Linked DNA regions of Arabidopsis thaliana. The protein of the gene in region 1 interacts with the protein of each later gene in a pairwise test. Each region holds a gene or a part of one and is shown in the gene's direction. Other genes may lie near its edges.

The links.
Region 2: the proteins of AT1G29980 (region 1) and NAPRT2 interact in a two-hybrid assay, tested with the Arabidopsis thaliana proteins (one large-scale study listed by BioGRID).

Annotation. Positions count from the first base shown.
Region 1 is NC_003070.9:10,502,468-10,507,847, reverse strand, and holds AT1G29980 (choice-of-anchor C domain protein, putative (Protein of unknown function, DUF642)), read left to right. Parts: upstream 1-1,658; 5' UTR 1,659-1,853; coding exon 1,854-1,968; intron 1,969-2,681; exon of another isoform or gene 2,682-3,230; coding exon of another isoform or gene 3,231-3,237; coding exon 3,238-3,762; intron 3,763-3,853; coding exon 3,854-4,437; 3' UTR 4,438-4,609; downstream 4,610-5,380. Other genes in the region: PFD6 (prefoldin 6), read right to left, coding at 1-12, 107-182.
Region 2 is NC_003071.7:9,969,703-9,975,972, forward strand, and holds NAPRT2 (nicotinate phosphoribosyltransferase 2), read left to right. Parts: upstream 1-1,900; 5' UTR 1,901-2,116; coding exon 2,117-2,265; intron 2,266-2,356; coding exon 2,357-2,501; intron 2,502-2,589; coding exon 2,590-2,709; intron 2,710-2,801; coding exon 2,802-2,936; intron 2,937-3,029; coding exon 3,030-3,091; intron 3,092-3,187; coding exon 3,188-3,263; intron 3,264-3,486; coding exon 3,487-3,588; intron 3,589-3,722; coding exon 3,723-3,839; intron 3,840-3,929; coding exon 3,930-3,988; intron 3,989-4,093; coding exon 4,094-4,268; intron 4,269-4,351; coding exon 4,352-4,486; intron 4,487-4,571; coding exon 4,572-4,670; intron 4,671-4,753; coding exon 4,754-4,862; intron 4,863-4,938; coding exon 4,939-5,051; coding exon of another isoform or gene 5,052-5,090; exon of another isoform or gene 5,091-5,129; coding exon 5,130-5,207; 3' UTR 5,208-5,505; downstream 5,506-6,270. UniProt on the Arabidopsis thaliana protein: Catalyzes the first step in the biosynthesis of NAD from nicotinic acid, the ATP-dependent synthesis of beta-nicotinate D-ribonucleotide from nicotinate and 5-phospho-D-ribose 1-phosphate.

The DNA of each region.
Region 1 (5,380 bases):
TCTTCCCGATATCTGAAAATATGAACACAGAAAAGTAGGGTTTCCCGCCTCCAGAAACAAGAAAAGAATCAAATCGAGAAAAGTTACGAGAATCTACGAAACTTGCCTTTCTGGATTTTGCCGAGATCATTAGCCTTGTTTTCTAGGTCTCTCTGCAAATCACGAACAGTCGATGAACTCATCTTCGTCGTCGTCGTCTGCTTCTTCCTCACTCCGGTGGTTTATTGAAAACTCGCAGATCCACCAAGGAGCAGTAACAAAACTCCGTTAAAGCCCCCGTGTTTTAGTAAGGCCCAAAACCGTATTAACTTGGACTTTTTAACGGCCCAATATGCTTTTCTTCTATTATCAAGCCTAGTTTTAGTTACATACAAAAGAAAAACACTATTTATCACTTGGTGACGTAATATCTTCTAGTTCACTGATCATATCAACACTGAACATAACTCTCATAAACACAAATTTTTACTTTTCGTCCCTTTATACCTCAATCTATAACGGGAAAAATGTCGTTTAATACGTGAACTTTAAAAAAATGGTCATTTAATACGTGAACTTTATATATGGTAAATTAATACATACAAAAATCGTTGACTGGCCATTTTACACAAACTTAATCGTTGATCAGGCCAAAATCTACACGACGTTATCTGACATTAACAGACCGATAACAGCCGTTAACTAATCTCTGTTAGTTTCCAATACGACGTCATTTCGATTATCGCAAAAACGGGAAAAATGCCATTTAATACTCCAACTTTCAAATTATGGTCATTTTATACATCAACTTCACATATGGCCATTTTATACATGAACTAAACGTTGACCAACAGTTTAAAAAATGAGAATGTGTTAACCAGGCCAAAGAGACATACCGCTATCTAGGCCTAGGTATTTGAATAAATCCAAACCGAATCCAAACAAAAATCTGAATATCTAGGTCTAGATAGCGGTATGTCTTTTTGGTCTAATCAACGCATTCTCATATTTTAAACTATTGGTCAACGTTTAGTTCATATATAAAATGGCCACATGTGAAGTTGATATATAAAATGACCACAATTTGAAAATTGGAGTATTAAATGGCATTTTCCGTTTTCGCGATACTCGAAACAACGTCGTATTAGAAACTAACGAAGATTAGTTAACGACTGTTATCGGTCTGTTAATGTCAGATAACGTCGTGTAGATTTTGGCTTGATCAACGATTAAGTTTATGTAAAATTGTCAGTCAACGATTTTTGTATGTATTAATTTGCCATATATAAAGTTCACGTATTAAATGGCCAATTTTGAAAGTTCACGTATTAAACAACATTTTTTCAAATCTATAATAGTGAAAAGCCGAAGATTTTACAAAGACATTTTTGTTGTTGTCAAACTAATAATTCACTCCACAGCCTAAAAGAAATAGAGTTGGATCAAAAGTAAAGTTGCCACTTTAGTCTCGCATCTAGCACAGATCCAATGAGAGGGAAAAAAAAAGAGAGAACCTAGGTCAATACTAAAACTTATTCCATCGTGGCTCTACTAATTAGAACAATTAAATACTATGTTACAGTAGAAACATTTCTTTTACTTTTTTTTTGTTATGCGTGCATGGAGTTTTGTCTGTAAAGAGCTTTAAATATAGTGGAAATTAAATGTTGAGAGTTAAAAAAAAAGAAGAAAAAAAAAGACAAGGAGTGAGGAATCTTGGATAAAAGGACACTAACCTTCCCTGTCTTTGCTCGCTGCCCGAAAAGAACATACAGAAAGACACTTTCACATTTCACACTTACAGAGAGAGAGAAGAGAGATAAAGAGAGCATTTAGATATCTTGAGGAAGACGAAGAAGAAGTAGAGGAGAGATATGGTTCCGAGCAACAATAGATGCAAATGGAGTTCCATTTTCTTGTTTCTGCTCAGTGTCTCCGTTGCCGTCTTAGTCGCCGTCGCTGACGACAAGTCTCCGGCGGTTGAGGATGGTACGCTTTTCACTTACCTTCATCAAATTTCTTTGTTCTTTTCTGGTCTCTGCGTGATTGGTTTTTCTCAAAAATGCCATTTAAATAAGAATCTTGTGTTATCAAGATTTGGTTTCTTGAATCCAACCCATCTCTGTTTCAAGAACAGAGGACCAAAATAATTTAGTTTCAGATGATTGATTTAGTTTTTATCTGGATTTTGAGTGTTTAGATTTTTGGGGGTTTTCCTCAATTTCACTTCACTGTTGCTAAGATTTTTAAGTTGAGTTTTCTTCTTTACTAAAGATTAGAAATCTGTTATGTTAATGTCTAGTTTAAGTAAGTAAACAGTGTTAATCGAACCAGTAATGCTAATCTAGTTAAGGTTATCTCATAGTCAGGGGAAAAACTGTCAACTGAATTTAATCCGTCACAATAGAAAAGAAAATGAAAGTTGTATGGGTCTATTTGTCAATTAAGTATAAAGTATCTTATTCGTGCTTTCAGCGGCGGCAAAATTAAAAAGGAAGCCCTTCTTAAATCTTCCTTAGCTTCAATTAACAAATAACAAACACACACCAACAAAACCCTGAGAACTCTTTTTTTTTTTTTTTATGTGGATATTAATTTAAAGATCTGATTTCATAAAGAAAGTTGTTTAGGTACTTTACTTTCTAAGAAATTATTTGATTAAAAAATTTACCAAAAAAAAAAACCACTTGAGTAGGATTCGCGCCAAATAGTAGGTGGTCTTTTGGTCGTAGTATTACAAAACGACAAAGAATACTTGATAAAACGACATCCAAGTGTCTGAATACTTCTCTAGTTTTTCAACACGCTTTCTTTTGTTTTTCCACCGAAAACACAACAATTGTCTCTTGCTTTCCCCTATTAGAAGGGGCATTTTTAACTTGTAAATTGGGAACTGTAGAGTGTAAACATAAAAATTAGTAAATAGTCAAAACGAGTCTTCACAATTGTGGTCCTACTAAGTCATAGCTAGAAGGTATGGGCCGTATGTCTGGCCCCATATTAGACGTTTCAAGCCTCGTGTCTCCTTATTATTTTTTTTCGTTCACGTTTTTACAATCTAGTAAATTAAAGTGTTATGTCGAATCAAACTATTTATTTGAGAAAGACAAAAACAATCTCTTTTCACACCGCTAGCTAGTTTCAAAACAATCTTGAAACGTGATCATTTGGCGTTTCCAATGATTTTGTCTAACCAAATAATCCAATGTACATTATTATTTTAAAATTGTCTGTAACCTTTATTTTTTGTTATGACAGGTTTAGTGATCAACGGCGACTTCGAAACATCACCGTCAAGTGGCTTTCCTGACGACGGAGTAACTGACGGACCATCCGATATCCCAAGCTGGAAATCCAACGGTACGGTGGAGCTAATAAATTCCGGTCAAAAACAAGGCGGAATGATCCTCATTGTCCCACAAGGCCGTCACGCCGTCCGATTAGGGAACGACGCAGAGATCAGCCAAGATCTAACGGTTGAGAAAGGTTTTGTCTATTCAGTCACGTTCAGCGCTGCTCGCACGTGCGCTCAACTCGAATCGATAAACGTGTCGGTAGCGTCTGTGAACGCAGACGCGGACGATATGCTGGCGTCGCGGAACGTTGATTTGCAAACGCTTTATAGCGTTCAAGGGTGGGACCCTTATGCGTGGGCGTTTGAAGCGGAAGATGATCATGTACGGTTGGTTTTTAAGAATCCGGGTATGGAAGATGATCCGACTTGTGGACCAATCATCGATGACATTGCTATTAAGAAGCTCTTTACTCCTGATAAACCCAAAGGTAACCATAAATTTCTCTATATTTCTATTTTCGACTCCAAAGTTCTAAAATGTGCCTATTTCACCCTGATTTTTTTGGTTACATTTTGTAGATAATGCGGTGATTAATGGAGATTTCGAAGATGGTCCATGGATGTTTAGGAACACGTCTCTTGGTGTTTTACTTCCGACAAACCTCGACGAAGAAATCTCGTCTCTTCCTGGTTGGACTGTTGAATCGAACAGAGCGGTTCGGTTTGTTGACTCGGATCACTTCTCTGTTCCAAAGGGCAAACGAGCCGTCGAGCTACTCTCAGGCAAAGAAGGAATTATTTCACAAATGGTTGAGACCAAAGCAGATAAGCCGTACATATTGTCTTTCTCACTAGGCCACGCAGGTGATAAATGCAAGGAACCATTGGCTATTATGGCATTCGCAGGTGATCAGGCGCAGAACTTTCATTACATGGCGCAAGCGAACTCCAGTTTCGAAAAGGCCGGTTTGAATTTCACGGCTAAGGCTGATCGAACCAGAGTTGCGTTCTACAGTGTTTATTACAATACGAGGACTGATGATATGAGCTCCTTGTGTGGACCTGTGATCGATGACGTTAGAGTGTGGTTCTCCGGGTCGAAGAGAATCGGAGCTGGGTTTGGGTTTTGGGTTTTTGTTCTTCTCGTTGTCGGTTTGGTTTAAGTAACTCAAAATTTAGATGTTCCGGTTTTATTCTAGTGTACCAGTAAAATGTTGTTGCAAACCAAGAAGAATTCTGTATGGTTTATTTATCCATCGGGTTAAAGCAAATTCGAAGGTGTTTATCGTTATGCAAAAGCTTGTCCCAACGAAAATCGAGAGTTTTTTTCTATAGTTTTATTATTTTGTTCGAATATATTTGGATAAATCTACCACAAACATAACATCTTAGAAAATGTATGTATACAGATAATTTTGGGTAAATCAACGTCAATTCGAATACACACGTACCGGAGATAAAAAATGTTTCGGTTTAGTTTGGTAAAGAATAAGTAGGTTTTTATAATTTTGCTCCACTGTTTATAAAAAGGTGTCGTCGCATTCAGAATTCTTAAATTTCTTCTCTTTGCTTCTTCTCTCTCCACCGCCGTCGTCGTCGTCTCCGATTTCCATAATGAACTTCTTAATTTTTTAATCCGGAATTATCTCCGGAAGTATCATGAGTAGATAGATGTTGAAGCTTATAGAATCTCTTTTTTTTTTGGTCCCTTATTCGCTTCCATGAACATTTCATATTTTGGATCTATGATTTAGAGTAATAGGATAAGAGTTAATCATATGTTTGTTTTGATTCTGGGAATAGTAGATGATGAAGATGATGACATATAGCAGGTACTTAAGAGCAGTCTGTATTATCCTTGGAATGTTTCTTGGTGCAGCTTTATCTTTTGCTATGCCAGAATCTTCCGGATACTCAGTCTGAATGACTTTTCAAATCAGCTTCTTTCTGATTCACTCATCTACTAGTTCTTCTTGATTTAACAATCTCAATGTTTGTTTCTCGGATAGTTTTCACTCCAAAAATGAAAAAGTTTTCTTCTTCGTGAGGATGTAACATCCAGTTTAGGTTTGTTTTTTTAGTGTTAATATATATGAATGTTTTCTT
Region 2 (6,270 bases), on another chromosome or scaffold:
CTGCATGACTCACTCAAATTAGAAGCCAATTACTATCATCAAATTAGAGATACATTTAACTATGAAGCGAATTACTATCACCAAATCATGAGCTATATGTGTTCCATAGTTACAGAGTCTATCACCAAAATACATAACGCCAACAAAACAAACTCCTAGTCTTGTACATCTATGAAGCCAATGACTCAAAACATACAACATAACCATCATGAAGCCAATTACTAAGAAAAAGCAACAAAAGAAAGAGATAGATACAGAGAAAAGAGAAAATACTTGAGCAAGTTGGGACTGAGTCAGCTTCTTGTCTTCTCGGGCTTGCATGATGGCTTTCTTCAACTTAGTGGGCACACGATCACCTGATTTTAAAACCATATAAAGGTGTTAACGATAACCAGCATTACGAATCAATCAAACACATATGTAGACTTCCTCTCGCTAATAATGCAAACTGAAGAAAATATTAATAACCCAAGAGAACAGACTAGATTACTAGAATGACTGTACCCAAGCAAAAGCTGGTTCTTATGGGATCCAAATCAACAACACTGATCCCCATGCAACAAACAATAAAACGAAACAGATCAATCAGATAACTTCTTCGTTTTCTAAAGAACCAAATCATCTACACAACTAAATCAATCAAAGCTTAGTCATCTTCCTATCTGACAATGCTCTGATTCGAGGGAACGAAGCAAGGGTTTGGTGGGAGATTGGATTTGGGACAAACACATATAGAATTGGGTCATCGATTTGGTGAAACGAACTCGGAATGGTGAGCAGCGTCGAGAGAGACGACCAATAGAGAGAGTGAGAAAATTTCCCGACGGAATGAAAAATAAAGACACAAGGATTTTTTGTTGGTTAAATATATCAACCAACCACTGACTGCCACGTAGGAGGCTCTCTCCAGAATTATTTGTTTTGATTATTTTTAATCAACAACTTCAAGAGAACCCTATCAAATTGTGATACTCATATCATGACACTGACAAATAAAAGAGACCATGAATATGGTTAGGCCATATGCGATATGGCTTCAAAAACCAAGTTGGGACAATCTTATGTTTAGTCTTAAGTTTGAGTTCATTTTAATTCATTTTAGATACTATTGTTTGATGTAAAATTAAACTTTGATAAATAAATGTACCTAAATTTGGATTGATTTTTTCATAATCATGTTTAAAATTTTTGGTGTTATGCAATTCTGTTTTGTTTTGTTTTTCCATAATAAGCATCTGAACATTTTTACAATATTTATATATTTTAAGAAACTGAAGTTTTAAGATGTATTAATCTACATTAACCTTTTCTATTTTAATGTTAACAAATATTATATATTATAAGTACAATATTCATCAAATACTATAACATATATGTGAAATGTAAATATTTACTACTAATCAAATATCATACTGCATATTTGATTGCAAAAGAGCTAAAAATCATTAATATTGCACATTAAAAATAGTCAATAAACTAAAATCATTAAATACACAAATATATCATAACACAGCAAGTGTGTACCATTATTAATCAATAGATTTACGCTATACAAGTTTTCCGAATTATGTATGTGAAATAAATCACACCAAAAAAATGTATTTGAAATGAAAAAATTCCCCGCCTCTGTAATTTAAGTTTTTTAGATTAAAACAGCTAAACTCTTTTCATTAATTTATTAGAGATACAAGATATTGTTATTTGTTACCAATACCAATATGTAAATTTTTCTGAGTAATTATTATAATTAGTTGAATTTGGCTACCATATGCCAATTTTCAACACATAAAATTCTTTTAAACGTGAAAATTCCAATAATCTAAGAGCCAACAACCACGAAAATTAAACCTCGTTTTAGTCTAAACTCTAAAATGAGAAATAATTAGAAACCAATAAAGGCTCTTAAAGAAAGACTAGGTCAAGTTCAAAGCAAGTTTTGCTTTGTGTGGTGGTCGTCGTCTCTTTCTTTAAACACACTTGTTTTTTTCTTTTTCCTTTGACCACTCCAATATAAACAACCAAGAACCAGTGTTCCTCGTCCATTCACTCTCTCGTAATCACACACACACTCACTCATACGAAGCCAATTGTTCCACACAAATTGGAAGCGACGACAATGGAGCCGAAAGAGAACGGCTCAGAATTGGGTCAGAAGATCATTGACGGACCAACGAATCCAATGGTCACACCTTTACTCAATGATCTTTATCAATTCACCATGGCTTATGCTTATTGGAAAGCTGGCAAACACAACGAACGATCCGTGTACAACACACAATCTCTTCTCATGCTCTGCTTTTGATGTTGAATTCTGAATGGTTTTGTATATTTGAAATTGTTTTTGTTTCCTTTTCAGTTTCGATCTGTATTTTCGTAAGAACCCATTTGGTGGTGAGTACACTGTGTTTGCTGGATTAGAAGAGTGTGTTAAGTTCTTAGCCAATTTCAAATTGACTGATGAAGAAATCGATTTCGTTCAAGAGTGTTTGCCTGGATCTGAGGTATATCAAAAATCTGTTTGTTTTTAGATTGTTATTGATTAAAGTTTGGATTTTTAAATCAGGGTTTTATGTTTGTGATTCAAATTAGGAAGCTTTTTGTGATTATCTTAGAGGGCTTGATTGTTCTGATGTTGAAGTTTATGCAATTCCGGAAGGATCAGTTGTTTTTCCTAAAGTACCTCTCATGAGAGTTGAAGGACCTGTTGGTGTGAGTCTCTTTGTCTCTTTCATTTGTGAAGATTGTTTAAGGAATAGTTTTCTTGAATGAATGATTCATCAGTTGTTGTAAAATCTCCATAGGTTGTTCAATTGTTGGAAACTCCATTCCTCAATCTTGTCAATTTTGCATCTTTGGTAGCTACTAACGCAGCTAGGCATCGCTTTGTTGCCGGAAAATCTAAGAGTCTACTCGAGTTTGGTGCTCGAAGGGCTCAGGTTTCCTATAAATCTCTCTCTTGTTTTTTGATATATTGCCTTTTGTGTTGTTCTTTCCATCTCTGTCTGATGTTATTAGTGTTGGAATCTTAGGGTCCGGATGGTGCAATAAGCGCATCAAAATATTGCTACCTTGGAGGTTTTGATGCAACAAGGCAAGTCTTGCTTTTTGTTTTTGTTGATCTGGAAGTAGGTGAAAGGGAATGTGGAAATGATGTGTTTTGTGTTGTTGGGTATTTTGCCAATGACAGTAATGTAGCAGCTGGAAAACTTTTTGGGATTCCTCTTCGTGGAACACACTCTCATGCTTATGTTAGCTCATTCATGGTCAGTTCACTTCAGCCAAAAGTTTCAATTTTTATGTGGAGGTTACATACTTGAGTTAGCTAGTAGAGACGATAACACAAAGTTTCGTGAAAATAAGATATTCTTGTCAATGCCTTTGTTGCTATAACTTTATTAGCCATGGTTCTGATGCACACTTAATATCCTCGCTCATAACAATATCACAAAAGCATTTTCGATATAATTAGTTAACTTTGGATTGCAGAGTACTGATGAGATTGTTGACAAAGTACTTCGTAGTGCTGATGGGAAAACCACGTGCGAGGATTTTGTTAGTCATGTTCAGACATGGTTAAAAAAGATTCAGGTTTGTTTATTGCACATTTTGCTCTTCCTCTTCCTGTTTTCTAGTCTCAGGACCATTGTTCTATTTCTGCTTCAACCCTTTGCTTGAATCTTTGTCACAGTTTTTCTTATGTTTTGTTTCTTTGTGGATGACAGTATTCACCATCTCTAAGTGGCATTTTCTCTGAGACAAATCAAAGCGAGCTAGCAGCTTTCACCTCATATGCACTGGCATTCCCCAAAACTTTTCTTGCCCTCGTAGATACATACGATGTGAGCATTAAACACCATAGTAGATAGCTCATTTGAGCCTTAGGATTTCTAATAAACTCTTATATTAGTGTTTTGCTGACTGTTTTACAGGTGATGAAGAGTGGAATCCCTAACTTCTGTGCAGTTGCTTTAGCACTCAATGACTTTGGGTGTGTAAGAATCTCTTATCAATACCCGATCGTCTGACTTGACTTTGTACTTCTTCAGGATCATATGGAATTTGAGATGCAATTGATGTTTATTGTGCTGCGCAGATATAAAGCATTAGGTATTAGACTGGATTCAGGTGATTTAGCTTATCTATCTAGAGAGGCCAGAAATTTCTTCTGCACGGTAGAGAGAGAACTAAAAGTGCCTGGTTTTGGGAAGATGGTCGTCACTGCTAGTAATGATCTAAATGAAGAGACGATTGACGCTTTAAATAAACAGGTGACTCCCTAACCCACTCTCAAATGCCATGCCCCCGAAAGATTGATTATTATTAAGCAGTGTTTTTTCTTTCATCTCTATAGGGACATGAGGTGGATGCTTTTGGCATCGGGACCTACTTGGTCACTTGCTATTCACAAGCGGCCTTAGGTTGCGTTTTCAAACTTGTGGAGATAAACAATCAGCCTCGGATTAAACTTTCTGAAGATGTTACAAAGGTTAAAACTCTCTCTCTCTCTCTTGGTGTTCTGAACATTCAATGTCACATTGCACTTAATCTGATTATCATTCTGATTCGTTTAGGTATCAATACCGTGTAAAAAGCGAAGTTACAGATTATACGGCAAAGAAGGTTACCCTCTGGTAGATATAATGACTGGAGAGAACGAACCACCTCCAAAGGTAAAACGAAAGATAACTCTCTCAAAGATTTTAATCTCATTACCTTATTGCATTTTTACATAATATCTTTCTTGATATCAAAGGTTGGTGAGCGTTTACTTTGTCGTCACCCATTCAACGAATCCAAAAGAGCATATGTAGTGCCACAACGTGTCGAAGAGCTCCTCAAATGTTATTGGCGTGGAAGTGCAGGTAAAGATTTTCCGGTACCGTAGAGTTATTAATGACAATGCTTTTCACTGATTATTGTTTCTCTATACCAATGAAGATGAAGCAAGAGAAGTATTACCGCCTTTGAAAGAGATAAGAGACCGTTGCATCAAACAGCTCGAAAACATGCGACCTGATCATATGAGGAGATTAAACCCAACTCCTTATAAGGTATGGTTTTATCCGACAAACATGTTTTTCAGTTTCTGAGAAATCTGTGTAAATGTTTTTTTCTCTCATGGTTTACAGGTTAGTGTAAGCGCAAAGCTGTACGATTTCATCCACTTCTTATGGCTAAACGAAGCACCTGTTGGTGAATTGCAGTGACAGAACAACCAAAAAGAAGAATCTGGTTTTGGTTTGGTGTAATGTATATAATTTATATACCACAGCATCACAAATATGCATTTTTTTCACTTTTAGTTTCTTTTTCTTACAACATTTTGATGATCTCTCATTGTCGTAGTAAGTTTCATTTTCTTACTGAGGAAAGAAACTCTCTGCGTTCACTGGAACTTTGTTTTCAACTGATTCAATAAGATTTTATATTTACAGCTGTAAACATACTGGAGACTGTAAAAACATTTACTCAAGTCAACGATTTTGGATCAGGTTTAGTTTCGTCATATGGTTGACAACTTACTGTTGCAAACGGATTGGTAAGCAGTTGAGTTAATTGAGTTTTTTCTAGCAGAGATTTGAAGAACATTACCTTTCTTCAAAAACTTCTTTAGGCGTTACTAGGACGTTTGGGGTGGACCTAGTCACTAACCACATATTCAAAATTCATTTCCAAAAAGATGAATTATGGAATATGAGAATAGAAAAATACAACAGAGTAAATGAGGAGTAAAACTTTATTACAGAAACTTACCAAACAGTAAAAAAAAATATGGAATATAAGGAAACCATTACTTAACGAAAAATCACTTAACAAGAATACAAGATGACTAAAAATGACAAGACGATAATCCATCCAAATTGAGGTTAAAAACAAGTGATAGTTTTGGTCTTATACAACAGAGTTATACAAGTGTAACTTTGAATTCTTATGGTCTCCAAATAGCCATGGCTTCGAGGGCAGGGCACTCGATATGGGCGTGGGTTTTCTTGGATGAAAGTTAAATTTGTTGATATAAAAGAAACACATAGTATACACAAAACTGGTCGGGACCAATACTCTTTTTTTTTTTGGCTCCGTTCATATTTTCAAAACAACAATTCTTTAGTGAAAATTAATAGATTGATTAAAGAAAAAAATGTTGAGAAAACATGAACTTTCATATTGTTGACGAAAAAAACATGAACTTTTCAAATGTCATTTAAATCCTAAAGTTTAGTTTGACTTCTTAAAAAATAGTTAATTTAGTTGACTTGGCCATTCCAAACA